Linked DNA regions of Mus musculus. The protein of the gene in region 7 binds, or shares a complex with, the protein of the main gene of each other region. Links are inferred from orthologs where the notes say so. Each region holds a gene or a part of one and is shown on either strand. Other genes may lie near its edges.

Region 1 (4,287 bases), on a different chromosome or scaffold from region 7:
ACAAAAGAAGAAGAAAATGTCTGTGAATACCCTGGAAAAGTTACTCAGTGAAAGTAGATGAGTCCCTGAGTCAGTGACAGGAAGTGAGTGCAGTCTGAGCACTGGCTTGTGACCAATGACAAAAACATAAGCTAGACTTGCTCTGCAAAGTGGAGGACAGAACAGACAAAGCCCCAGAGTTGTAAACTGGGCTCCTACAAGTGAGAACTACTGAAGATGGTGTCAGAAAGAGGAAAGTTAAGTGTGGGTTGAGCAGTGGCCTTTTCTAGCCTGCCAAGAACCTAAGACCAGAGACCAATGGTAAATTAGCACCTTCACATTTAACACTACAGAGAAACAAAGAAAAGAGAAACAAGCAAAAAATCTACACAAACATAAAAAAAGGAGCCGATCCAGGTTGCTATGGTTGACATTAGAGAAATCTAGAAACACGCACGCCTTTAGTCCCAGCACTTGGGAGGCAGAGGCAAGAGGATCTCTGAGTTTGACACTGCCAGCTACACAGAGAACCCGTTTCTCAAAAAGCCAAAAGCAGAAATGTCTTCTAGATTTGGCAACCTTGGAAGCAGAGGAGAGGTTGAGAGTTTTGCCCAGTACAAGCTATCCTTTAGGAAATACAAGAACTGGAGATAAAACAGGAGCACCAACACGTACAAAGTACTGTCTGTTTCTGAAGAAAAGGAGGACTCTGGACTATTTTCATCCAAGACTACCAGGACAGACAGTAAGAAAGCCCCTCTCACAAGCTCAGCTCCTTCCCAGCACAGAGCCCTTACCTGGATGGGGCATCCCACCTGGTGGGAACGGGTGAGGATGTGAGTGTCCGTGACCGGGATGTCCAGCCCCTGGAGTCCCTGCTGCTGGGGGGCCATGTCCTCCAGCCCCAGGTGGCATAGGTGGTGGGGGCATGGCTGGGGGAATCCCAGGAGGGAGGGCCCCAGGAGGTGGCACTGGAGGTGGAAAAGAGCCAGGAGGCGGCATGCCTGTGTAAGAAATGGAAGACAGTTAATGTCTTGCAGAGCTCCAGCCTCCCCCCTGCAGGCTTCCCTTCAGCTTCACTCCATCTGCCAACTTCATCCGCCAACTTCATCCCTTCCACCAGCACGCCTCACTCCTGTCTCACTGCCCAACAACTTAGCAGCTTACTCTACCAGGGCTGCTTCTGCCTCCTGAGCCTCCCTCCCAAGAGCCTCACTGGCACAGTCTGAACTCCAAGCTGTACCTGGTGGAGGAAGCCCAGAACCCAGGGATGAAACCACGGGATTGGGGGCAGAGGGCGGAGGGGGTGCATCGGCAAACAGCTGGTGAGGGCGGTCAGCCTGGGACAGCGGGTTCTGGGCTGCCAGGAGTCTTTCAGCTGCTGAGCCATGGCGTTCACCCTTAGAGTCCTTCTTGAAGGCATAAGACACAGTGATAGGACGGTTACACAGGTACTGCCCGTTCATGGCCTCAATTGCTGCATCCGAAGCATCGAAGGAGGCAAAATTAATGAAGGCGTAACCCTTGGAGTTGCCTGTGTCAGGGTCCCGCATGATCTTGGGGGTCTGTAGGATGACTCCAAAGGCGCTGAAAGTATCGTAAAGCAGCTTTTCATCAATTTCTGGGTCCAGATTTCCAATGAAAATGTTGGCTCCCACATCCAGGTTTTTGTTGTGAGCTGAGGCCTTGTTCACCCGTATTGGCTTTCCATAGAGTTTGATCATGTTCATAATCTTAATGGCATAGTCGGCATCTTCCTCGCTCAGGAATTCAACAAAGCCATAGCCTGGGGAATCAATGAAAAAAACAAAACAAAACAAAAAACAAACAAACAAAAAAAACCCATCATTCAGGGGAAGAGACTCAAAATGAAACATTAACTCCCCAGCCTTCAAACACAAAGAACATAATAGATAATAGCTGGGCGACTGCACGTGCACGTGCTTTTAATGCCACCACTTCGTAGCAGAGGCAGGTGGAGCTCAAAGATCGTGACCAGCCTGGTCTACAGAGCAAGATCTAGGACAGCCAGGACTACACAGAGAATGGTTGAGAATGGTTCCAGAAACTAGAGCTAAGAGAAAATATTCCAGAAACTGGGAATTGAAGCTGAAGGAGAAAGCAATCTTTAGGTTGCTCATTCCAAAGGCGCTGTGCCTAGCGGCTGAGCCTCTTCGGGGCCGGTTAACCCTCTCCAGGGCTGATTCCTGCCCCGTACCCTACTCACCCTGGTGCTGGCCAGTGACTCTGTCCTTGGGCATGTGGGTGTTGACCACTGGCCCTGCCTGGAGAAAGAGCTCCCACAGCAGCGGCTCACTCACTTTCTCGTCCAGACCGCCCACGTACACCGTGGCATCTAAAGGGAAGAAGCAGGCGATGAGGAGTCGGCAGTGAAAAAGAAGACAAAAACCAAAAACCGTCGCCTAAAGCCCTGAAATTCCCTCTGCCACCATCATCTAGAAAATCTGCTACGTCTAATTTGGCATTCTTGCTGGTCCGGTACTCCCGGGAGGCTTTTGTCTTCTTGGTGGAGGGAGCTGATCTAGAAGCATCGCTTCTCACAGGCCTCGGCCTGCACCCGGCCTCGCGGCCAGCCAGGTGCCCAGAGGTCGGTGTCCCACCGGGGGGGATCTCGTCTACCACCCCAGGGGGAACGCTTCCGGCACTAATCTTCCCTCCACTTCCCTGCTCCTATCTTGGGCTCTTCTCTCCCAATTACCCTGATTCCGTTCGGAGATCGGTCCGGCAGCCATGGCGAAGGGGCTCCCGCCGTCTCTAAGCAGCAGCACCGCCCCCTGACCTCAGTTACAACTTCCACTTCCGGGCCAAGGCTCACGTTGGGCGGGGCCGGCGCCGGGGGGGGGGGGAGGAGCCGGAAGCGATCGCGGCCATCTTAGGGGTCGGAGTCTTGTCTTTCGGAAGGGAAAGGCGCTCTAGGGCTGCTGCTGTAGTCGGGGCGGAACGGATGTGCTCAGCCCGTCTCGACACAGTTAACTAAAGCCCCGGATGCTTCCAGACTGTTAGAGGCTCACACGGCTCCCCAAACGCACATTCAAGTGCAAAACCAGGCTTTGTACGTTCTGTGACGCAGAGTTGTGTCCTAAGTGCAGGGCCAGGACTGCCTTCTGGAGCGACCTATTATTTAGTGAGGTCCACGACGCTCGTGCAGACTCGCCCTCGGCCTAGACTTGAGCCTGAGGTATTTTGTTTTCCCCTAAGTGTCAAATCTCCGCTTATCTTGGGAAATCTGGGACACGAAACCGGGTTGGGTTGCGGGCTGGTATCGAAGCTTTAAGGAGCAGACATGGATCTCTTGAGTTAAAGGCCAGCCAGGTCTACAGAACGAGTTCCAGGACAGCCATGGCCACACAGAAAACCTGTCTCAAAAAACAGAGTTCCAGCTGGCCTAATAGACACATAGAGACCATGTCTCAAAAAAGGTGTGCGGACCCCTTCCCCCATATTTTATGTGTATTTCTTCCAGGCCACGCCTGACTTGGATCCTTTATTTCCTTACAATAATTTGGGTGTTTTTCTCAGTTCACACCCTCCCCTCCACCCCCACGGCTTTGCTGAGATCTTCATTCAACACAAGAAAATACCAGCAATGTGTAGAAATACTGTGCTTTAATGAACTCCTTAAATAGAAACGCTGCTATGAAAATATACAGTGGGAGGAGACGGTTTCTCCCTTATTCACCTCGTTCCCACAGAAGACTAAGAAAAGATTTCAAAGTAGTGTAGAGAGGTTGCGAATGAGGTCTCTAGGACATCATTGTTGGGACTGATGAAAAGGGTCTCTCATGTCACAGTTTTGACGGCCATCCAAAAGGTACAGAATTGCCTGGGAAAAGGGGCAATCACATTCTGAACTGGTCTTGTTTCTTAGTTTTCAAATCACAAGAAATGAAAATAGCCCCAGAAATCAAACAAATCGGGAGACCTTTAGGTTGGTAGCGCCACCATCTGCTACAGAAACGGGCCTTCTAAGTGAACTCTGCAGACTGGAATGCCAAAGCTGAGGCGTCAAGGTCAGACAGGAAGATGAGCAGAGACCCCTGCCCTGCCTCTGAGAACGACGCTAACAAACAGTTTCAGCAGATCTGAGAGAGGATGGTATTCGGATCTCTTTTCTTGCTCTGGTCCTCGGGAGATATTCTTGGTGTCCATTGTCTTAACAGTTCCTGAAGGTGAGAAAGCTCATCCTGAAGGGCAGAGACTGTGAGAGCTGAGGAGCCCATCTGGGGAGGGGCAAAGCGCACAGAGGAAGACTGTTACAGGGCTTGCTTCCTGGTTCCTTTTTTTTCC
Region 2 (3,500 bases), on a different chromosome or scaffold from region 7:
TGTGGCCTTGGCTGCCCTGGAACTCACTATGTAGATTGAGCTGGTCTTGAACTCATAGAAATTTACCTGCCTCTGCCTCCAACTGCTAGGATTAAAGGTGTGTTTCACTTCTCAGCTCATCTTGTGTTGAGACAAGAGTCTGTCACTAAACCTAGAGCTCAATGATGGGCTAGACTGGCTTGTCAGTAAGTTGCTTCCGTCTCTACCTCCAGTGAAGTACACTGAGCCACTGAGCCATTTTTCTAGCACCTATTATTTTGAGGTGTGTGAGTGTGCGTGCATGCATGAATAGATACCTGCCCTTAGAGGCCAGAGGTGTTAGGTTCCCTGGTGAGTTACAGGCAGTTGTGAACCACCATGTGAGTGTTAAGAACTGAGCTCAAGTCTTGTATAAGAGCAGAATATATTCTTAACTGCCTAGCCATCTTTCTGAACCCTACCAGAAGATTTTTTTTTTCTTTTTTCTCCAAGATAGAGTTTCTCTGTGTAGCCCTGGCTGTCCTAGAACTTGCATTGTATACCAGGCTGGCCTTGAATGCAGAGATCTGCCTGCCTCTGCTTCCCATGTGGTGGGACTAAAGGTGAGTGGCACCACTGGCTAGCAACTACCAAAAGATTCTTAATTTAGGGCCTGGAGGTATAGTTCAGTGATGAAACTAGCATATAGCATATATAAGGCCCTGGGTTTGATCTCTAGTAACACATAATACATTCTTCTTTCTCGAAACAACAGCAATAAAAAATTTAATTCATAGTAATATAGCTTTGTTTTTGTTTTTGTTTGCTTTGTCTTTTGTTTTTTGAGACAGGGTTTCTGGGTGCACAGTCCTGGCTATCCTGGAACTCGCTTTGTAGACCAGGCTGTCCTCAAACTCACAGAGTTCCACCTGTCTCTGCTTCCCTCTCAAGTACTGGGATTAAAGGAGTGCATCGCCATGCCTGCTGTAGTAATGTAGTTTTAATGGTAGGTATACATAGATGAAATATTTTCCAAATAGGTTATCTGTTTTTTATTTCATCTTTAACAGATATCTCACAGACAAGTTTTCGCCGCTTACCTTTTGACCACTGCAGGTGAGAGCTTCAAATCCTTCTGTTTTCCCTTGGCTTTGGTTGAGTATCATTTCTCCCAAAACAGGTGTGTGTGTTTTAACTGCAGCTTGGGCTGACCTTGAACTCCTGAATCTCCTGCTGCTACCTCCCAAGTATTAGGATTATAGGCTGCCATCCTTGCATATTTGCATAGATTTTTTAAAAAGATTTATTTATTTATTATATGTGTGTACACTGTAGCTGTCTTCAGACACACCAGAAGAGGGCATCAGATTTCATTACAGATGGTTGTGAGCCACCACGTGGTTGCTGGGATTTGAACTCAGGGCCTCTGGAAGAGCAGTCAGTGCTCTTAACTGCTAGACCATCTCTCTAGTGCTTGTTTTTTTTTTTTTTAAAGATTTATTTATTTATTATATGTAAGTACACTGTAGCTGTCTTCAGACGCACCAGAAGAGGGCATCAGATCTCTGTTACAGGTGGTTGTGAGCCACCATGTGGTTGCTGGGATTTGAACTTCGGACCTTTGGAAGAGCAATCGGGTGCTCTTACCCCCTGAGCCATCTCACCAGCCCCTTGTTTTGTTTTTTAAGGTAGGGTCTGTTTTCTGCTCTGGCTTCTGACTGACCTGGAACTCATTAAACTTAAAAAGACTGACGTGCCTCTGCCTCGAGAACACTAGAACTAAAGGCTTGAGACCAAGAAAGGGCGATCAGCAGTGGCCCAGGCAGCTCACAGCTGCAGACACATGTGAAGCGTAGCTGTGGTAGCTGAGGCTGCTGTAGGCCTCCACCCCAGTCCATGTGCCCAGCATACGTCAGGGTGGTGTACAGACAGTACCACAGGGGCCTCATTAAACCCTGGGACGGGGAGGATGCCCCGGGGCGAAGCTTAGTCTGACTGCTCTATGAGGGTCTGGAGAGGGAATCCCAGCTTGCTTCCTCAAGGCCATCATGAGGCACCTCTTATGTGACATGAAGTGGGCTGCTGCTGCCTCAAGTACTAAGGCAGCTCCTGGGACAGCAGCTTATCCTTATGACGTGGTGTCAGGGACAGAGGGTACTCAGAACTGTGGAGCAGGTTGTGGGACCCAGAGCATGCTCAGTGTGCCTAGAAGCTGACGAGGGGTTTCTGTTCTTTTCAGTCTCTCTCTCCAGCCTTTTGTCTACCCAGTCTGCACCCCAGAAGGTGTCGTCTTTGACTTGCTGTGAGTTTACTCTTGAATTTTTAAATTTCTTTTTATGTGTGTGTGTGTGTGTGTGTGTGTGTGTGTGTGTGTGTGTGCCTGCCCACCCAGGTGCATGGTATTTGTGTATGTGCAATTGTGTTCAGATACATTTATATGTGGAAGCCAGAGGTCAATCTCATGGGGCTTTCTCTGTTGTTCTTCATCTTATTTTTTTGAGACAAGACCTTGTCAGTGAATTTGGCACTGTCAGCAAGACTGGCTGACCAGCAGGCTCCCGGTTCCACCTGTTTCAATGCCTCCAGCTCCCACTAAAGTTACAGATAGGTGCTGTCTTTAGCTGGCTTTCTTTTTCTTTAGTTTTTTGTTTTTTGGTTTTTTTTTTAGTTAGTTTGTTTGTTTGTTTATTTAAGTACACTAGCTGTAGTCACCATCAAATCCCATTACAGATGGTTGTGAGCCACCATGTGGTTGCTGGGAATTGAACTTAGGACCTCTGGAAGAGCAGTCATTGCTTTTAACCATTGAGCCATCTCTTCAGCCTCATTGTGTCTGGCTTTAACATGGGTTCTTGGATGGAATACAAATTTCAGGCTTTTGTGCTGTGGAGAAAGTCCTTTATCCACTAAGTTGTCTCCCCAGCACTCTATATTTAATTTTGACTTAATAAATATGACAGGATTCTTGATACCAATTAGAGAAAGGAATATAGAGTTTGTGGCTCTAAGCAGGGTCAAAGTTACTAAAATCTTGTCCCTAGAAATCTCATGACATCTAGGTGAGCCTGTTTGGTAACTGGGAGGGACCACCAGGCCTCAGGCAGCACTAGCTGGCAGATGCTGTTGCAGTGGAGTGAGTCCTTCTCCCCCCTGTCTTAGAGGCCAGCTGCTTACAGATGTGCAGTAGAGGTGTGCTGGATGGTCTCTGCATGGTGAGAGATGCAGAGTCCCCTGCATTGCACTCTGATGCACTGCACCCTGTTGCATGTTCCAGCTAAGCTTGTTTTACATCCTACATTTTTTTCTAAAATTTGCAAAATAAAAATAAAAAAATAAAAAAATACTTGAATAGAACAATTTACCCCAATGACGTCACTGTCCAGGATCATCATTATGCCCTCTTAGCCCTGTGCACAGATTTCTTTGGTGAGTGCAGAGGGTGGGGGAGTCTCACTGTAGTGCCCTGGCCTGTGTTCAAATGACTTCCCATTCTCATACATCTCCCAAGTAGCTAAGCTTACACCACACTTGGCTTACTGCCA
Region 3 (4,300 bases), on a different chromosome or scaffold from region 7:
AAAAGAGCACTTGCTGATCTTTGAGAAGAGCAGAGTCAAATCCCAGCATCCATCTTGGGTGGTTCACAACCACCTGTAACTTCAGCTCCAGGGGATTTGAAGTCTTTTTCCATACCAAAAAAAAAAAAAAAGTTTATGAATAGCAAAAGCCAGAAAAAGATATGGTTTAGATAAGGTTAGTGATTAAAATGAAAAAATGGCTAACATGAGCTAGGAAGGCTGCTCCGGTGGAAAAGCCCTTGCTGGAGTGCCTTGGCTCAGACCCCTGGCATGCACGTGAAAGCCAGGCACCGCACTGTGCCTGTAATTCCAGTGCTCACAGGGTAGAGATAGAAGGATCACTGAGTTTGACAGTCACCAATCTAGCCAATGAGCTCAGTGAGGGAGGGGCCCAACCTCAAAAAATAGGATAGAGTACACTGTAGTGCACACAAGCCTTTGAACCTGGTGGAGATGGGTAGGCAGAGTCTGGAGGAAGTTTTGAGTTCTAGGTCAGCTGGTCTACACAGCCAGTTTCAGGCTAGTGTTCACTCACATACACACACACACACATACACACACAGGAATATGCACACACATGCACCCCCCCCCCCCCCCGCCAAAAGGGGTTAACATAAAATAAAGCATTCCTTATTGGAATACAAAGTTGATTAACATAGAACTATACAAATAAGAACTGTCATTACTAATAGTTACTTTTTGTTTGTTTGCTTGTTTTTTGGAAACAGGGTTTTCTCTGTGTAGCCCTGGCTCTCCTGGAACTCACTCTGTAGACAAGGCTGGCTCCACCTCAAGAGGTCCACCTGCTTCTGCCTCCCTGGTGCTAGGATTACAGGCATGTGCCACCTCTGCCCGGCTCTACTATTTCCTCTTAATAGGAGGTACCAGTCTACTCCCTTTACATAAATTGTCCCATTTCATCCTTGCTCAGTGAACCTCAAGAAGTAGTCCTTTTTGCCATATGGATTTTAGGAAAAGAACAAAAATTTGCTTGGAGGACTAAAATTCTCCACAGTCATGAATCCACAGGACTGATAATTTACTTCAAACGTAATTCTTAATCTACCACACTACAGGTTCAAAATTTGCCAAGCACAGGTATGAGAGGATGGGAAGAGTATTGTTGTAAAGTCAGCCTTTTAAAAGCTTGAAGGAAGAGCTGGGATGTCACTCACTGTTAGAGTGATTAAGTCGCAGATGTGAGGCCTGGTGAAAAACAAACTGGAAGGCGAGGTGGAGTGGTGCATACCTTTAAACCCAGCACTCGAGAGTCAGAGGCAAAGGCAAAGGGATCTTTGAGTTCAAGGCCAGCCTGGTCTACAGAACTAATTCTAGCACAGCTAAGGCTATCCAAATAAACCCTGTCCCCTCCCCTCCTCCCCCCAATCAGGAAGACTGAGAGCAAGAAGTGCTTCTGTGCTTTGGGTACATTTGGGAAACAGTTGGGGCCAAAATGACAGCAACAGGAATAAGATTTTAACAGGAGTTCTGCTTAACTTGTACATACCTTGCACTCTGTAATTTCACAAATTTAATGAGATAAACTTCTGTAAAATCTTCCGCTGGGTATTCATCTAGAGCGTTATACTGTTCAATCGCACCATACAGAGCAAAACGCTCAACTAATTCCTTCATGGCTCCCACTGCAGGAACTCCTTGTATTAGTAAGTACTGAGACTCCAAATTGATTGTATATACCTAAAGTCAAAGGAGACCTCGTTAAATGTACTCTTCAAACAAGCCTATGGCAAATCGGTCCTCCCACCCCCTTTTAAATGGAGCTTTGAAAACAAGAAACAATCCGGTCTGCAAAACATACACACTAAACTGTCACTCTTCTGCCTAAAGACTACCACACTCCACATAAGGGTATCTGACTAAACCACTTAACAGACGTCTTTTCCAAAAGCTGACTCCAGAGAGGTTAATGTAAACAGCCACTGAACACTCACTCACCCTGGGCTTGCCCTGTGAGAAGCGCTATTGTAAACACATAGGATACAAAGCTAAAAATAGTGGGTTGGAGGTTTGGTAAGCAGCTAACCGAGGGTAGTGATAACCTTTGGTACCGGGGCCCGGGTTCTTCGTGCCCCCTCCACTTAGAGATGGATCTCACAACATCCCTGCCATGCCTTTATGGAGGCAGGCCTTGGGGAGCTAGTGCTCACAGGAATTTAGTGTCCCTGCCGAGGGGAGAGAAGAATCCGAGTCACTCTACCTTGACCGCGCGAGGGCGTCGGCCCTCCCGGTATTTGGCCCGCGAGTCACACACAGCCGTCTGGACGTGGTGATCGAATACGCCACCAGGTTTCCCGTCACTGGATGCCATCTTGCCGGCTCTAGTCCCCCGCGCCAGAACAACATCCGCCAGCCGCGCTCCTCTGAGTCCAATAAGAGAGCAGGATGGACCAGGCGTGCTAGGATTGGCTGAAGGATCGACCCCATCGACGATCATCTCCTGAGAGCGAGAATTCGACGAGCGACGTGCCGCCCCCTAGAGCTTCGGAGGTGGCCCGAGGGTGACAGCGGCCGGGCGTGGGAAGAGGGGGGCGGGCCTGATCGATGTTCTCGGGTTCCGACGCTCTCACCTGACGAGAAGCCGGTGGACTCCGCTCTCCGGTGAGAGTTGAACCTTGGGACAATGTGGAGCAGCGATCGCTTAGCGGGTGCGGGGTCTGGTGGGGCGGTCGTGACGGTGGCCTTCACGAATGCTCGGGACTGCTTCCTGCATCTGCCGCGGCGCCTCGTGGCCCAGCTTCACCTGCTGCAGGTAACGCGCTGGCGGGACGCGGACACCACTGACGTCTCGTGGGACTAGGGTCAGCTGACACCTTTTCCTGCAGGGACATCGTCTGCCACCGACCCCGAGCTGAGGCGTGAGCGAGGGCCCCCTGCGGGCATGGCGTGGAGTGGCAGCGTGTGCATCCACACCACGGCTAGTGTATCCTCAGACCCTACCGTGGAATTCCTAGTGCACCCCTTTAACTCGGTTAAAGCAAGCTGAGCATGCAAGGGTTCTGCCCCAGCAGTCAGAAGCGGCCCTCACTCAAGGATGGAAAGTTCTAGAGAGCTCTTACAGGTTTGCTTACAGGTTGCTAAAGCATTATCCTGCCAACGAGTTGCCGGTGCAGCGATAGAGGTGTTGAGTGGCAGACTTGGTTTGTAGATTACCAAGGTTTCCAACCTGTGCGAAAGGTTAATAAAAGGATAGATAGCTCTCCCTGCTCCGGAGGACTTCGAACATAGCAAGAATATGTGCGGCGAGGGAGGTGGGGCGGGGTGACAAGGTGATGGAATTATTCACACCCCACACTTTCACCTCGGTAGCTAGGATTACTTGGACCTCAGCGAGCTGTCTGGATTCTGTCATTATGGTGTTTCAAGGCTATTAACCATCGGTGGAAATACAGCATCCATATTTTCCTAAGAGTGAGCAGAAATAGACTCTCTTAGTTTGAGTGTATTCATGGGGTTAGAGTATTTGAAATCTAAAATCCTAGATGCATGGTACCTGAACACTGGGTCATAAAAAAAATATACAAGAGTTTGAAATGACTTCAAGTATTCTACCTTTATTTCCTCTTTGCTACATTTATCTTGCTTTTACAGTCCACCTATCAGAACACACCAATTTCATCAGAACCATTCTTACTGTTAGTTTATCTCCACCAAATATTCTCTAACTCTCTGGTTTGCTTTCTGGTGACTGAAAGGAATCATTCACTGTTACCAAATCCCAGCTTGGATCATTATTCCCTGTCATTTCTGATGGGGATTTTTCAGTGTATTTTCAAATCTCAAATTAAGCTTACCACCCCATGAGTTTAGAAAAATGCTTCCTTATGGTCGCTAAGAATTTGAACCTGACATGTTGTTGCTTCCTTGGATTCATCACTGTTTAGGAATTACATAGTCTTGGTCTTTATTATTATTTTTATTATTATTTGAGAAGTGAAGAAGTAAAATACTAAGCATTTGGATTAAGTCTTGCATGCTTATATCTAATCTTTATTGTTTATAGAAAGGTGGAGCTAGATACACATGAGGTTTCCTGTCCTGGTTTTTTGTTTTGTTTTGTTTTGTTTTGTTTGTTTTTTTCGAGACAGGGTTTTTCTGTGTAGCCCTGTCTGTCCTGGAACTCACTTTGTAGACCAGGCTGGCCTCGAACTCAGAAATCCGCCTGCCTCTGCCTCCCGAGTGCTGGGATTAAAGGCGTGCGCCACCACGCCCAGCTTCCTGTCCTGGTTTTGTGTAGTATTAATATGACTTTTGTTGAGAGGTCATTGCTTTTAGCAATTAC
Region 4 (4,262 bases), on a different chromosome or scaffold from region 7:
TTATTGTTCAGTCTTAAAGTAGTGCTTTGACAATGCCTACACTCTTTTTGTATGTGTAACATCTGTCTACTTTGGTTTTTTTTTGTTTGTTTGTTTGTTTTGTTTTGTTTTTGTTTTTCGAGACAGGGCTTCTCTGTATAGCCCTGGCTGTCCTGGAACTCACTTTGTAGATAGACCAGGCTGGCCTCGAACTCAGAAATCCGCTTGCCTCTGCCTCTCAAGTACTGGGATTAAAGGCATGCATCACTGCACTGGGCTTTGCTGTATGCGTTTAATAAAAAAAAAAAGTAAGGCAGTCTAAATTTGTTTGAGAATGTAAAACTTAGATGTGGGAAGGAAATGTAAACACAGACTTTACCAATCTGAATCAAATAGACATACATTGAAATAATAATTTTACTACTTCTTGACTATATGAGGAATCCGTACATGTAACTCAGATGATGAAGAAAGATGTGCACTCCCAGGAGAACCGAGCCCTCGGTGTTTACTGGGCAAGGTAATCAGCATCTAACACTGCACTGTGCAAAATGTGACGCACCAGAGCAGGGCCACAGCGCTTGACCCAGCTCCTGTCTCCTAACAGCAAACAGTACCTGTGGTGTTCCGGGCACCATCTTTCCATGTGTCTGGAGTGATAACTCTGCCGAGTTTCTTTTCACCTGTGGTCGCCAAGACAGCAAAAGAGAACAGCTGTCATCTAATAAGCAAACTGTGTGGAAATAAAATAACAAAACCCATTTCTTTGCTAACTTTACAATAATAATTTAAAATGATAAATATATTGTATCGCCTAAAGTACATAACGATATGAAGTCAGATTATAGGAGGAACCTACTAATGCCAGGGTAGAAACCAATGAATGAAAACTTAAGATAGTAACAGTGGGCAACAGATACTGGTTCTAAATAAAACTTACAGGACAAAACGATGCTCTAGTAACAGGCTTTAACTGATTATACTTTAAGCAGTTCTGACAAACTTATTCATTCCTCTCTCTCACATTCTCTAATCACCTAGTCTGTACAAAGCACCATGCAAGGTTCTGATGAAAACAAAGCAATTTAAAATGATAAATATATTGTATTTATATGCTCCAAATGGACAGTTACTTAGTACTGTTTAAGTAGGGCACTGTTCAGGGTGGAGAAGAGCACTGGATGCTCAGTGGTATGGATGTGCCAGCTGAGGCCAAACAGTCCTCAAACACCTAACAGAACAAGGAAAAGAAAGCACACTGAAACCAAACTCCCTGGAACTCAGTAAATGCACAACTGGAGAACACGTACGTGCCAAGTTCTAAGAGGTAACTCTAAAAAATTGGAGAAAAGTAACTTTCTCGAATAATGTGTGATACAAGGGAAGACTGAACTGAGGCGGCTGCTGACATTACAGCTTCTGTATGCAAGTACCTCAGTTTACTTACGGGGTGCATGCAATGAGCAGACAGACTGAGAGGCTACAGATAATAAGACCTTAGATTTCTCAGAAGAGCAGAGGAAATGACCTTTCAGGGCACAGCACAAAGGACGGCTTCACAATCTAAATACATTTAAGCCACATTTAATTAACCATTTATCCCACTTTCGAAAAGAATAAAAAACCGTTTAAGAATGGCACAGCTCTGGAGGGGTGTCTGTGTCCAGAGTTCTACATACTGAGGGGCTATGAACAAAATGGGTCCTGTATATCCGCCAGTAACTGAGATGTGGGTTGAATCTTGTCAGAGAAGGCTGTCTAGCCCATGAAAGAGATCAAGAGAAGAAAGTTGTTTTTAAACGAATCATCAGCTTTTGCAGCTACCAAAAAAAAAAAAATTAAATATTTACAACAAATCTTAAGGGTTTCATTGGAATTACTGAATGGTAACTAAAAGGGTTAAAAAGACCTTTCTAAAAGCCAGGGGTGACTACTTAAAGATTTCTTTGGTGGTGATGAGACTCTCTCCTTCACCTGACCCAAAGCTGTGAGTATTAATGAATTGACGGGATGGCTCAAAATATCCAATTTAACTTAATTTCAGATAGCCACTGAAGTAATTTTTAAAATAAAATCTAGCCGGGCGGTGGTGGTGCACGCCTTTAATCCCAGCACTGGGGAGGCAGAGGCAGGCGGATTTCTGAGTTCGAGGCCAGCCTGGTTTACAGAGTGAGTTCCAGGACAGCCAGGGCTACACAGAGAAACCCTGTCTCGAAAAACCAAAAATAAATAAATAAATAAATAAAATCTGTATTAAATGCGGCATGTTTTGTAGTAAGGAAAAGCAGAAAGTCAAGATTTAAACATTATTCGGGACATATTAATAATACTGGAAATTAACCATTGCTTATAATCTTAAGATGTAACCGAGAGCCTGGAACTTATACTTGTGACATCTGTCAACTCTTGATGCTACCAGAAAGATCGTGAAGATCCGATTTAAGCCTCCGAGAGCCAATCAAGAAGTTGTAACGGAGGAGACCCAGAAGGGGCGCGAGGACGACAACAGAAACAAACACAAGAGGCGCAGAACTGAAGCCATTCTCAACACAGAGCGGAAGGCTATGCTTACGGGACAGGCAAGAAGGGCCGAGGGGCAGGGTAGGAAGACACCGGTTACGCCACAGACCAGCAGGGGAAAACCAGAGAAATCCCGAGAGAACTTCTCAGCCCTCCACCTCCCCCAGAAGCAGCCCCTGAACTTACACTTTTCACACACCATCCTTACATGGGGGTGTCCCTGTGCCCTCAGCCGGCAAAGCAGGAGCAGCAACCCAAACACAACAACGCCCCAGCGGAGACGACTTCCTCTTCCGGCTACGTCAGCCCGCTTCCGGACTCTCAGCCCTCCCGCTCCGGCCTATCCCGTACCTAGAAAGTCGCGGGAGGGATAAACGCGAGCTGATGGGCGGGGCTGCTCTCATTATCCCGCCCCTTCTCGTCAACGATTGGCTGTGCGCTTGTGAGTTCCCCCCGCCCCCTCGCTTTCTGGTCTGCGCCTGCGCCAGGGGCCATGCCAGCCTGTAGCACCTGAGGGTGGGAGGCGGTGGTGTCCCCCTTCCCTTCGGCGGGCGGGAGAGTTAGGTAAGCCGGTGGCGGGTTGCTTCTCACACTCGCCCGGGGCGGGTGCAGGTCGCACCGCCGACCGCTGCGGTGACTTCCAGGGCGCCACGCTTCCGGCGGACCAGAGGATGCCCTGCGCTACCGACCCTCTGAGATGCCGGCGTCTATCACAGTCTCTCAGGGGACTCCGACCTCAGGTCACCGGGTCGGCCGCACGGGCTCTCTCTATGATGGCGACCTCCAGTTGCCCACACTGCGCCGTCCGAGGCTGGGACGGAGCCACCTGGGTGGGGTGGAGCTGCGGTCCGCACCTGAGCAAAGGCTGCTCAGGAGGAGGGCTCGGGAGCAGCCAAGCCTTCCGACCCCGTTCTCACGGGATCGCGAGTCCCGAGGGCGGCTTCCCAGGTGTGGTGTCCTGGGTCGGGGACTCGCTCGCCGGTGTCACCTTTGCGTTTGGGTACCGCTCGCGCTCGCCGTGTTAGATGGGTGTTTGCCGGTGGCCTAGGATGGATTTCTGATCGCGCTTCCTGCCTGACCCCGCAGTGGAAGGGAGAATCTGAGAAACTTTCCCCAAGTCTTTTCACGGCTATGCGTTCTTGTCCCGACCCTGGAGGATTTCTTCTTGTTTAAAGAGGCGATGCTTGAAATGGCTTGTGCGTGTGTAACCTTGGCCGTATCTGCTAACTTGTTCATCCAGTTTTCTTAATCAGTATCATTTGCTTTTGAAAACGATAAGTGTGAATGAAATGAGGGCTAATAGCACCATGCCCAGACTTGCGCTTTTACCTTTCCTGCTAGTTCCTCACCCTGCGGTGTGGATGTTACTTTTTGGGCCCGATTTTTACTACATTGTAACATGTGTTACTTTTAAGTTCTTAATTAACTTTAGTCAGTATAACATAGAAACTGTTCTCTAGGTCAAATATATGTATTTAGAGACTGGAAACTATTGTTTCTCCTCCCACTCGCGTTCTGCTATTACCATTATTTAACATCTGTACAGACAGTGTGAGCCCTTAGTGTAGCATAATGACCATCTTAAGATGGTCCTCCACCATTTGCATATCTAAGTGTATACTTGGCTGTCATTTGGGAACTGCAGTGATTTTCGCCAAAAAAGTAAAATTAGTTGCTGGTGTCTGGCACATGTCCCCTTTGTAGAAACCAGTCACAAATATTTAAATTTTTACAGGAATTTTCTTTTTGAGGCTCTGAAAGAT
Region 5 (4,288 bases), on a different chromosome or scaffold from region 7:
TCCCTTTTTTTCTTTCTTTCTTTTTAAAAAAAGATTTACTTATCTTTATATGAGCATACTGTAGCCACCATGTGGTTGCTGGGAATTGAACTCAGGACCTCTGGAAGAGCAGTCAGTGCTCTTAACCACTGAGCCAACTCTCCAGCCCTGAGATCCCATCTTTTAGAAAGAAAGAAAGAAAGAACGAAAGAACAAAAGAAAAGAAGAGAAGAGAAGAGAAGAGGAGAGGAAAAGGAAAGGAAAAGGAAAGAAAAAAAAAAGAAAAGAAAAGAAAAGAAAAGAAAAGAAGAGAGAAAGCAAACTGGGCAGTGGTACACACTTTTAACGCCTTTAATTCTTGCACTAGAGAGGCAGAGGCAGGCCATCTCTGAATTCGAGGCCAACCTGATCTATAGAGTGAGTTCCAGGGCTATACAGAGACACCTTGTCACATCAAAACAAACAACAAAACAAAAAAATGGGGCTGGAGAGATAGCTCAATGGTTAGGAGCAATGAGTGGCCTTCATTAGGACCTGGGATCAATTCTTAGCACCCACATGGCAGTTCACAACTGTCTGTAACTCCACTCAGAGATCTGACATCCTCAAACACAGATACATGTAGGCAAAACACCAATGCAGATACAAATAAACAAATTAAAAAAAAAAAAAAAGATGTTAACTCACCATACAATTAAAAAAATAAAAGGTCTGGCATTTATTTAACTCAGAGAACTACTGAGAGCTGAGATTAAATGTATACTCCACCACAATCAGCCTTTATTTATTTGTTTTTAGAGACACGACGTTCTAGGACCTAGAGAAGTGGCTCAGCATTTAGAAATACTGGCTGCTCTTGCACAGCACCTGAGTTTGAGTCCCAGTCCCTACACGGTAGCTCAAAACCATTTGTAACTCCAGTCGGAGTGGATCCAATTCCCTCTCCTGGCTTCCTGAGGCCATCACACACACACACACACACACACACACACACACACACACACGGTATACAAACATATATGCAGGCAAATTACCCACACAGACAAAATAAAAACAGATTGAAAAACAAAACAAAACAAAAAAAACCAAGCCATAGGTCCTAGCTCTATAGCTGAGAATGGCCTGAAGCCCCAGGAAGAAACAGTAACCATTACTTACTTTGTGCCTCTTCACTTGGATTCTCTCGAGCCTTCAGCAGCTCCTCAAATTCCACTGACATTGGCACACAGATCTGAGGGAAGGAGAAGAGTTCAGGTGGGCCTGGCGATGTCTCAGGCACACACAGGCCTGGGCTTCTAAGACTTGCTTTGGCTTTGACCTTGAGTGTACAGAGCTGCCTACTTAGTGTTCTCCACTTCCCTTGCTGCATAGCCGGGCAGACATTGATTGGCACAAAACACAGCATGCTAAGGAAGGGCTCCTTTGGAGGAGGCAGTCCAAGAGATATTTTACGAAAAAGCTGGCATTGGACATGAATCCTGAAGGGGTAACGACCTCTGCAAGTGAACAGAGCACCACTGTGTTGGTAGATTTCAGGGCAGAGCTAGGTGCACAGTATATTGAGTAGGAGACATTCTTGTGAAGCAGCCCTAGTGCTTCACCGTGTTCTCTTACTGCAGAGGGATGCCAAGAGGATGTCACTTAACATGCAGTGAAGTGGCACGTTCTTTCTTGGAGTGACATCTACATGGCATAGCTCCATTTCCTTTGCATCTTTCCCTTTTGTTAACGGCCAGGTCTAAGGACACTAAGTTGGGAGGCCTTACCTCATTTGGGTGCTTCCGATGGAATTCCTTTATCTGCTTGAGTCTGTTATAGAATTCAGCGAACTCGTTGGGTCCTGAGATAGCATTGAGCTCCTCCTTCCGCAGTCTGCAAGATATCAACAAACCCGAAGAGCATAAAGCACACAGCCCATGGTCTCACCAGGGCTCCTCAAAAGCACTAATTGTTAGAAGGGATGTGACCGTCACTTACCCGTCCTTATCATCATACAAATCCCTCAGGTTCCCACTGACCTCCATGTACCTCTGAAACAGAAGCGCAAAGCCATCAGAATGAAGCAAATTTGTACCACAGGGCTAAGTAAACAAGAAAGGATGTCTTGGCAAAACCCAAGGAAAACTCATGAGATACATGGTCTTCAAAGTTCCACCACTTTTAAGAGACAGCTTGATCCCGAGGTGGTTGCATACACTTTTAATCCCAGCACTTGGGAGGCAGAGATAGGACATCTGATTAGGTACCCTAGAGGGGCTTGTCTAAGAACTCAGGGGTAGAAATCACGCAGGGCCACTCAACCTTCCCAGCCTGCACTTTTCCCGCCCAGCCCGACCCCAGGGGAAGCGGACGGCGGCGCACTCACATCTTGCATGGCCCGAGTGCGGTGATCGGAATTGATCTGGTCCCGAAGCTGCAGAAAGGCAAACGGTAACACATACGTTGTTACTTTGAGTTTAGCAGTTGGAAAGAGCACCCGAGGGGTGATGCGCTTATTGGTTTAGGTCCCAGGGGCTGAAGCAGGAAGATTGAGGGGCCCTCGGAGGACGTTAACGAGGCCAGAGTGCCGAGCCAGCTTAGGAGGAGGGTGAGGATGGGGCGCAGAGAAGCTCCGAGGCCAAATACAGCGCGAGGGCTCGGCAAAGGACCCAGGCCCGCCTCCTGATGCGGCCCGGACCACGGCTCACTCACCGTGGACTTCTTCGTAAGCATCTCTTTGGCCATAACATCCATAAGCCGTTCCTTCTCCTCATGATAGCGCCGTTGCTGCTCTAAAATTGTCTCCATTTTCCCTTGGCCACGGCGTTTCAAGGCGGACCACTAACACTGCCGGAAACACCGCCTGCCGCCTTTCAGCCAGCGTCTCAGCGCGCAGCATCCGGCTGCACCAAAGTTCCGCGTGTCCCGGAAGTGTCTTGGGGGACTCAAGAAAAAAGGAACACCACGAAGAGAGCAAGCGGGTGCTATCCGCGACCGTGGCTACGCTTCCCCCTGCTGGCTGGGGGTCTGAAGGAGCGCTGCCTCCGCGTTGAAAGCTGGCTGTCTCTAAGAAGCCTGCAAGAATCCTGTAGGCTGAGGTTGAGAGACAGCTGGCTTGCCCGGGGCTTGCTGCAGAAAGCTGGGCCGGCAGGGACACACTAGCAGGAACGGATAAGTTGAAGGATACAGAACGGAAAGGGGAACTGGAAGCAGCAGTAGTTTTCAGTGTGTGACCTCTGGTGATGTTTTCCCCTTGTCTGGACTTTAGTGTGTTTGTCAGTAAAGTGGAGATGGTGGTGGGTTTGTTCTTAATAAAACTCATACATATTTGAACACAACCTTTGTTTATTGGCAGAGGAGTCTTTAAGAAAAACGTGGTACACTCAAGCAATGATATGCTTGCTGTTCAGCACAGGTTAACTTCTGATTCTCTGTAATTCTTTTTTTTTTAAAAGATTTATTTATTTATTATATGTAAAGTACACTGTAGCTGTCTTCAGACACACCAGAAGAGGGCATCGGATCTCATTACGGGTGGTTGTGAGCCACCATGTGGTTGCTGGGATTTGAACTTCCGACCTTCAGAAGAGCAGTCGGGTGCTCTTACCCACTGAGCCATCTCACCAGCCCCAATTCCATGTAATTCTTTATTTTTCTGCTTTTCGCCTACCACTTGCTGGAATTACAGGTATGAGCCACCACACCTAGCCACTGTATGGCTTAGAAAATGAAATCTAGACTGCCTTTCCTTAAAAGAGGAGGAAGAGGAAGAAGCAGAGGCAGAAGAGGCAGAAGGTGGAGGCAAACAGATCTTTGTGAGTTCTAGGCCAGTTTGGTCTACATAGTGAGTTCCAGGACAGCCAGGGCTGCATAGAGATCCAGTCTCATGAAACCAAACCAAACGAAACATAAACAAACAAACAAACAAACAAACAGAGTAGGGGCAGAGAGTGAATCAGTATAGAGAGCTGGGATTACAAGTGTGTGACAGTGCATGCACCAGGAAAGAGGCATCGGCGCAATGCAAAGTGGCTCACACCCGTGATCCTAGCGCTTAGGAGATGGAGGCAAGAGGAGAACAAGTTCAAGTTCAGCCTGAGCTATGTGATAAGACTCTATCTCAAAACAACAAACAAACAAAACACATACAAACATACACATACACACATACATATATACATACACATACAATACATACACACACATTCACACACACATACACACACATACATATATACACACACATGCACACATACATATACACATATATACACACACACATATATATATACACACACATACACACACATACATATATACACACACATAT
Region 6 (4,128 bases), on a different chromosome or scaffold from region 7:
GACAGACTCTCAAACGATCTCAGCTCTGGGATCTCCCATGGGGTAACTCTCTGGGACTGATCTAGGGTCTAGCCTTCCCCATGGAGGGATGTCATTAGACATCCCTAGAATTAAAATAGCTTTGGTGGCTTTTTGACGCAGGATCTCACTTAGTTGTGCAGGCTGACCTGGAATGCATTATGGAGCCTAGGCAGACCCCAAGTGATCCTCCTATCTCAGGCACTTGTCTAGTGGCATTAGAGGTGTACAACTCCACACCCAGCTTGAAATGCTTTGTTGCTGTTACAAAAATACACTATGGAAGCAAACTGTTCCATGCATCCAGGAGATAGGAACTAACAGAGGACTTACTGTGAGAACACACAGATGATGTCGCCTTCTGTCAATTCATAAGGAAGCCCTCCTGGAAGAAAACACACATTCTCCAGTTTAACAAGCATTAATCAAGCATTCACTGCATGCTATGCACTAGGCCAGACACTGGAGGTGCAGATTAAACAAGCCTTGATCTGGAAATTATCAGCCTAATACAATGACAGAGTGGGTACGATGACAGTTGTCTGGAAGAAAAGTCATTAGCTCTCAGATCCCTTTGAGTTCGAGGCAAGCCTGGTCTACACAGTGAGTTTCAGAGCGAAACTGTGCCTCAAAAAGAAAAAAAGAAAAAGAAAAAAACTAATTAACTCTGAGGGGAAAGGCTAGGGTCATAAATTACCAAATTAATCTTATCATTGAGTCTTCATACCCAAAGTCCTATAAAGCACATGATTTCCAGCACAAGACTCAGATTTCATAAACACTGACTTCAATACACTGTTACTGCCCCCCACGTGCAAACTAGGATGTATCAAGGAAAGTGCTAAGCGGTTCACAGGAAGCCTTTCACATGTTCCTCAATGTTCTCCTTCATATGCAAAAAGGGGACGTTAACATATTTGCCTCACAGGAGTATTATGGAAATAAACTAAAATGAGGCATATAAAGTGCTTAACACAATCCCTTCAAAAGGCAAACTGCGGGATTTTGGTTGTGACATAAAGAGAATACACGAAAGGTAATATTGTCCCCAGAGACTCAAGAGTTCCCCTTTTACAAAGGCTCTCAGTCTCTAATCTTGGTAAAATAATTCTAAAACAGACTAAAGGGCAAGCTTGAGGTCCATTGTGTTAGCATTTGAGGGAGAGCTGATAGGGAGGCAAGGTGTAAGATTCGCCAGCTACCGGGAGGAGGAGGGAGGAGGGAGCTACAGAAGGGTTGGCAGCCATGCCTTCAGAATTAGGAGGTGGAGCAAGCAGGAGTGCACAAAAATGGGGACAGAGCAGTAGCCGCAAAGGGACAGGAAAACATTTAGATGTGAGATGAGAAAGCCCAGCGTGTTAGGGGCAAGCAGGCTCAGGATTTCCGCCAGCACCCAGAGAACAGAAAGAAAGGGAGAGGTGGGGCTCAGCGAGGCCTCAGAGCAGCAGGTAGACTTAGGGCGGACATCAGCACCACCTGCACTGGGGATCATTTCCCTCCCGTGTCCCTAGCGTGTCTGGCGGTGACTGAGCTTTCCTGACAGGTGTCTACTGGCCAGATGACTTAAAGCTCTGTTGGATTATGTCTGAAGGAAGGGGCACACTAGTATGTAACATGTAGGTTTCCTGAAAATGTCCTGGTATCTACCCAGGGCCAGGGGTGTACTCCAGACTCTATTCTTTTCATCAGAAGTAGCTTTCCCTGATCCTGTCACATTTTCAGGTGGCCTTTCAAATGTTCAGCCGGAGTAAAGCTAATTTTGAATCAAGCCTTAATGTCTTCAAATCCAGCTAATGTCTGACCAGGTACATCACGGTACAGCTAAGGACTAGGAGCAGAAGCCCAGGAGAGGAGAAAAATCATTGTGAGGAAGGGCAGACACACACACGATCGGTATGTGACCGTGACGAAGAGCACAAGCCCCACAGTTTTGAAGTGCTGCAGCATGTGACCTTAAGCAAGTCCAGTAACCTGTCTGCGCCTCCGTTTCTTTGACATCGTGATAGGTTGACTGTGGAATGAACTGTCTCTGAGCAGCCAAGTAGCAAGGTTTTGAATAGAATGAAAGGCAAATACCAATTCTAAGAAGCGCTGAAGGCAACTGAAAAGTGGACCTGTGAGCAGAGGAGCTTCCAGAGTGTGAGGTGATGAGCTTGTTCAGAAGCGATGACCAGGGGCACTAAATAACCGGGGGAGGGGGCATAGGGAGGAGAGGGGAAGGGGTGGAGAGAGGAGAGGAGAGGGATGAGGAGGGGAGGGGAGGGGAGAGGGATGGAGAGGGATGGGGAGGGGAGGGGAAGGGACGGGGCGGACTCTGAAAGGCACTGCTGGAGAAAAATGGGGACCTCACCAACAAAGATCCAGGCGCTGTGCTTGTATTCCGAGTGCCAAGACACCTTTTCCGCCACTCCAAGTTGAACCTCTCGCTCATTCAGTTCATTGATCAGCTTCACCTTAGTCAGAGGGCTGCGCGGGTGGCAGGCAAGCCGGTAAGTGCGATAAGTACTTTTCCTCCCAGCCCGCCCTCTCCCTACCGAGCTTCTCCCGCCCGGAGGCCCGGAGGGCGAGGACCGGTCCCCGCCCTTTCTGGGCGGCCATCCTCAAGCCACTCTCCCTTCCGCGGAGAACACTCCCGCCCCTATCCGCAGAGAAACAGAATCCTTACTTCATATTCGCATCTTCGCGCGGCTCGCTTCAGACGACAACAGCTTCCGGGTGAGGCTCCAAAGCGCTCCCGCGACCCGAACACCCAGCTCAGATTGGAGCACGGGGCCCGCGAGGCGGAACTTCCGCCGGAAGTTCCGGCCCGCTAAGCCCTGGCGCCTGCGCAGTAAGGTGAAGGTGCTTTCTCAGGCATTCGCTCCTGTGGAGGGACAGTTCCCAAGTCAGTCCCCGCCCCCTTTTTGATGGAGAGCGATGGGGGGACCCTGTGTTCCTCTGCCAGTCGGAATTAAATGCCCACGTATAAACAAGCAGGCAAAAATTAGCATTGTCAAACTAGTACCTATCAACTAAAGAGTTAGAGAACTTAAAGGTTGTGAATGAGAGACAATTTATGCACGTTATCTCTGTTAGATCTCAAACCCCAGGCTAAGGCTCACACCATTGGCTCCTCCCAGCACTCCTCACCCTGCCCCTACCCTAAACCTCTGCCTCCCAGGGGGCGGCTCACTTTCTGCCATTTGCATTTTTCATTCAATCTCTTGTTTGTTTCCTTGTGTAGCCTTAGCTGTCTTGGAACTCGCTCTGTAGACCAGGCTGACCGCCCAACAACCCCATGAAATACAGTTACCATCCCCATTTTACAGAGGAAAAAAACTGAGCTTCAAAAAAATTAGCTTGAAGGTCTAGAGAGGTGGCTCAGTGGTTAAGACCATTTGCTGATTTTTTTCCAGAGAACCTGCACCCAAAACAGGTGGCTCACAACTCCAACTTCAGAAGATCCTCCTCTGGCCTCTGTGGGCACTTGCACTCACATAATTTCTGTCTTCTTCAGATAGAAATTCAGTTTTTCCAGCATATTTCTTAAGTAGGTTATTTTTTTCCCAATATATGTTTTTGCTTCCTTTGTCAAAAATTAAATAGGAATAGCTTTGGCATTTTATTCTGGATTCTCTTATTCTATTTCATTGATATTAATGTCTACTTTTATAGCAATACCAGGCTGTCCTTATGACTATAGGTCTATAGTAAAATTTGAGGTCAGGTCCTATAATGCTATCAGCATTGTTCTTATTCCTTGGGATTTCTTTTCTACCTATTGTCTTTTGTAGTTCCATATCAATTCTTGTGTTATTTTTCTAAACCTGTGAAATACATCAGAATTTTGAAAGGTGTTGCATGAAATCTGCAAATTAATTTTGGAAGTATACCCATTTTCACAATATTTATTCTACCAATTCAGAAGCATGGAACTCTCTTTTTCCCCCTGAGACGTGGTCTCACTATAGAGCTTGTGACTCTCCTGGCATTCACTTTGTAGAGCGGGCTGGCCTGAAATTCACAGAGATCCACCTGTCTCTGCCTCCCAAATGTTGTGGTTAGAGGCAGTATGGAACTCTTAAGGTAAGAGACAACATGTAATATTCTCTTTTGAGGCTGATCAGAATA
Region 7 (2,381 bases):
TCTTGATTCCTTAAAATCTGTTCTCAAATGACATCTCAGTAAAGTAGCATTGTAAGCATGGTTTTTAAAGTTGTAAACTCTTCAAGCTGGCATAATGTATGCCCTCAAACCTTTGGAAAATGCTCTGGTGAAAAGGGAAGAGGGGTGGGGGGAATGGGGCGCTGAGCAGGATGGGGACGTGATACCACTTGTTTGCCAGTTTATCATTTCTGAAGACACAAAGGGTAATCATCAAGAAAAAGGGGTAAGGGGTAGCGCATAAAGGGAAGGGTAGGAAAGGGATATGGGCAATCTCCGCGCTTCAAGGTTTCTTTGGGACCAGACACACTGTACGCGTGAAGACTATTGAGGTGGGATAATATCATAAAAGTGTGTGTGACGACTTAAGGACTTGCCCTGTGCTTCTGCCCCCATTTCCTATTTATACTCTCACAAAACCTTGATCCACAGAACCCTCTCCTAATAACCTCCCAAAGAACACAGCAATCCATACCAAAGAATAGAGCAAACCCTAAACTTTATATATATATGGTTTTTTAAAAAGGCAAGAAGACATCAACTATCGAAAAGCAGACTCGAAATGCGCATCACTCTCGTGCAGTCTTCTCCCTCGCTTGCCGATGCTGGGATCACTCCTTCTGCACAGTTCACAAGGAGCGGACCCGGACAGTCTCTCCATGACTTGTTCCGAATCCTCCACAGGTACGCAGGTCAGGCGACACAGCCAACACGGAATGGTCGAGATGCAGGAGCAAGGAGGCTCGCAGCCGGCACACGGGGAAGACTGGGCAGCGCTCACCTCAGTTCTCCTCGGGCTTGTCCGCGGGCGGCCCGCTGGGCTGCAGCATTTTCTCCATCAGGTTGAACCGCACGCGGGCTTTGCTCTCGTTCTCGGCAATGGCGAAGTAGTTGAGGAGGTCGAAGTGGCCCATGTAGGAGCAGTAGGAGTCGCGGTGCTGGTTCACCAGCCATTCCCACTTGGTGGTGTCGGCGTGGCCCGTGCCGATGTACTTGGACTGCAGATGCTCCAGCTGGCTGTGGATGGTGTACCGGTCCGTCATCGCGCCGCTCTGCTCGTAGGCTCCGAGGTCAGGACACAGACGAGAAGCTGCCGCTCGCGGCGTTCAAGTGAGAGACGCTGCCGCTGCCGGTGCCGCCGCCGCCACGCAAAACCTCAGTTCGTGCAGGCGCGGGAGAAAGACGCCACCGAGACGCAGGAGTAGACAGTCTTTTCCTAGGCGGAAGCGGAAGTGCCGTCTGTCGCGGGATTGGAGTTGCCTAGGAAACACTGGGCCGTCTCCTCACGGAGCCCGCCTACTTCGAAGAGTGTTGCATGATGGTCCGCTTAGTGGCTCTCGGGTGATCACGTTCTAGTCTGAGCGTTGCATTCTGGAACAAGTAGTCCAAAGAGTTTGTTTTAGGGTTTTGTTTTGTTTGTTTTGTTTTTGCCTGGCTGCTGTAGGACGATGGCAAACGGCCTCTGAGAGTTATCCCACGGCTCTGGGCTACTAAGAAGGGGAAATCCAAGAGGGTTTCAACTACAAGCAACCAGGAAAATTAACTCTTGTACCTAGAAGCTAACGTGGCAGCATGGTTCCCCCGCGGTCCCAGCTTTGTCTCTTAGAATTTGGGCACTGGGAAAAGTATTTTTGGTGATCAGTGTCAGCCCCAGTAGTCTCACTAATGGCTCCCACAACGAGCTCCAGGCTCCCGTTTCTCAACCCATTGAGGGGTTGTTTGCTCTAGGTCACTCAAAAGCTATTCCTTGAAGTCAGATGTGGTTCAAGACTAGATAGATAGATAGATAGATAGATAGATAGATAGATAGATAGATAGATAGATAGATAGATAGATAGATAGATAGATAGAAAGAACACCTCTCTTTCTAGTCACCTGTGTTTTTCTGCTGATTACTGCCTTACGTTGGGGGTTGTGCACTTTCTCACGTTACAAACAACTCAGAAAAGATAATTGTACTTCTTTTATGGTATCCCTTAAGGATACATGTATAGCCTGATGTAGATTGTACTCTCAAAAAACCATTTTAGGAATGGGGTAAGAGCAGTCACAGCCAAAGAGAATGGACAATGACAGACAATTTGAAAATACAGGAGTTTGGGGGTACTTTTGTTTACTTGGTGGGGGGAGGATCTGGCCCTGAGCTCACAGCAATCCTCCTGCCTTTGCCTCCTGAATGCTGGGATTAGAGGTGAGTTCCGCTCCATCCAATATTAATTCTTCTGTTTAAATTTTGTCATAATAAGCATCATGCCAGGTGGTGGTGGCACACACCTTTAATTCCACCACTTGGGAGGCAGAGGCAGGCAGATCTCTGAGTTCAGGGGCAGCCTGGTCTACAGAGCTAGTTTCAGGACAGCCAG

Evidence for each region.
Region 1: Sf3b5 (region 7) and Sf3b4 share a complex: the UniProt entries of both Homo sapiens proteins name them as parts of the SF3B subcomplex of the 17S U2 SnRNP complex. The link is inferred for Mus musculus from reciprocal best matches to the Homo sapiens genes SF3B5 and SF3B4.
Region 2: Sf3b5 (region 7) and Ppil2 share a complex: the UniProt entries of both Homo sapiens proteins name them as parts of the minor spliceosome. The link is inferred for Mus musculus from reciprocal best matches to the Homo sapiens genes SF3B5 and PPIL2.
Region 3: Sf3b5 (region 7) and Rbm48 share a complex: the UniProt entries of both Homo sapiens proteins name them as parts of the minor spliceosome. The link is inferred for Mus musculus from reciprocal best matches to the Homo sapiens genes SF3B5 and RBM48.
Region 4: Sf3b5 (region 7) and Cript share a complex: the UniProt entries of both Homo sapiens proteins name them as parts of the minor spliceosome. The link is inferred for Mus musculus from reciprocal best matches to the Homo sapiens genes SF3B5 and CRIPT.
Region 5: Sf3b5 (region 7) and Sf3a3 share a complex: the UniProt entries of both Homo sapiens proteins name them as parts of the 17S U2 SnRNP complex. The link is inferred for Mus musculus from reciprocal best matches to the Homo sapiens genes SF3B5 and SF3A3.
Region 6: Sf3b5 (region 7) and Rbmx2 share a complex: the UniProt entries of both Homo sapiens proteins name them as parts of the minor spliceosome. The link is inferred for Mus musculus from reciprocal best matches to the Homo sapiens genes SF3B5 and RBMX2.

What each region holds. Positions count from the first base shown.
Region 1 is NC_000069.6:96,171,019-96,175,305, reverse strand, and holds the start of Sf3b4 (splicing factor 3B subunit 4), read right to left. Parts: upstream 2,801-4,287; 5' UTR 2,733-2,800; coding exon 2,699-2,732; intron 2,336-2,698; coding exon 2,207-2,335; intron 1,766-2,206; coding exon 1,223-1,765; intron 984-1,222; coding exon 777-983; intron 1-776. Other genes in the region: Mtmr11 (myotubularin-related protein 11), read right to left, coding at 4,074-4,220. UniProt on the Homo sapiens protein: Component of the 17S U2 SnRNP complex of the spliceosome, a large ribonucleoprotein complex that removes introns from transcribed pre-mRNAs.
Region 2 is NC_000082.6:17,104,753-17,108,252, reverse strand, and holds part of Ppil2 (RING-type E3 ubiquitin-protein ligase PPIL2), read left to right. Parts: intron 1-1,028; coding exon 1,029-1,074; intron 1,075-2,197; coding exon 2,198-2,260; intron 2,261-3,500. UniProt on the Homo sapiens protein: Has a ubiquitin-protein ligase activity acting as an E3 ubiquitin protein ligase or as an ubiquitin-ubiquitin ligase promoting elongation of ubiquitin chains on substrates.
Region 3 is NC_000071.6:3,593,748-3,598,047, forward strand, and holds the start of Rbm48 (RNA-binding protein 48), read right to left. Parts: upstream 2,801-4,300; 5' UTR 2,771-2,800; coding exon of another isoform or gene 2,642-2,770; 5' UTR 2,456-2,641; coding exon 2,219-2,455; intron 1,699-2,218; coding exon 1,508-1,698; intron 1-1,507. Other genes in the region: Pex1 (peroxisome biogenesis factor 1), read left to right, coding at 2,642-2,770. UniProt on the Homo sapiens protein: As a component of the minor spliceosome, involved in the splicing of U12-type introns in pre-mRNAs.
Region 4 is NC_000083.6:87,024,099-87,028,360, reverse strand, and holds the start of Cript (cysteine-rich PDZ-binding protein), read right to left. Parts: upstream 2,801-4,262; 5' UTR 2,702-2,800; coding exon 2,686-2,701; intron 663-2,685; coding exon 597-662; intron 1-596. UniProt on the Homo sapiens protein: As a component of the minor spliceosome, involved in the splicing of U12-type introns in pre-mRNAs. Involved in the cytoskeletal anchoring of DLG4 in excitatory synapses.
Region 5 is NC_000070.6:124,713,373-124,717,660, reverse strand, and holds the start of Sf3a3 (splicing factor 3A subunit 3), read right to left. Parts: upstream 2,801-4,288; 5' UTR 2,767-2,800; coding exon 2,671-2,766; intron 2,393-2,670; coding exon 2,345-2,392; intron 2,010-2,344; coding exon 1,957-2,009; intron 1,852-1,956; coding exon 1,746-1,851; intron 1,211-1,745; coding exon 1,138-1,210; intron 1-1,137. UniProt on the Homo sapiens protein: Component of the 17S U2 SnRNP complex of the spliceosome, a large ribonucleoprotein complex that removes introns from transcribed pre-mRNAs.
Region 6 is NC_000086.7:48,693,676-48,697,803, reverse strand, and holds the start of Rbmx2 (RNA-binding motif protein, X-linked 2), read right to left. Parts: upstream 2,801-4,128; 5' UTR 2,689-2,800; coding exon 2,684-2,688; intron 2,485-2,683; coding exon 2,369-2,484; intron 404-2,368; coding exon 352-403; intron 1-351. UniProt on the Homo sapiens protein: Involved in pre-mRNA splicing as component of the activated spliceosome. As a component of the minor spliceosome, involved in the splicing of U12-type introns in pre-mRNAs.
Region 7 is NC_000076.6:13,007,303-13,009,683, reverse strand, and holds Sf3b5 (splicing factor 3B subunit 5), read right to left. Parts: upstream 1,235-2,381; 5' UTR 1,062-1,234; coding exon 801-1,061; 3' UTR 501-800; downstream 1-500. UniProt on the Homo sapiens protein: Component of the 17S U2 SnRNP complex of the spliceosome, a large ribonucleoprotein complex that removes introns from transcribed pre-mRNAs.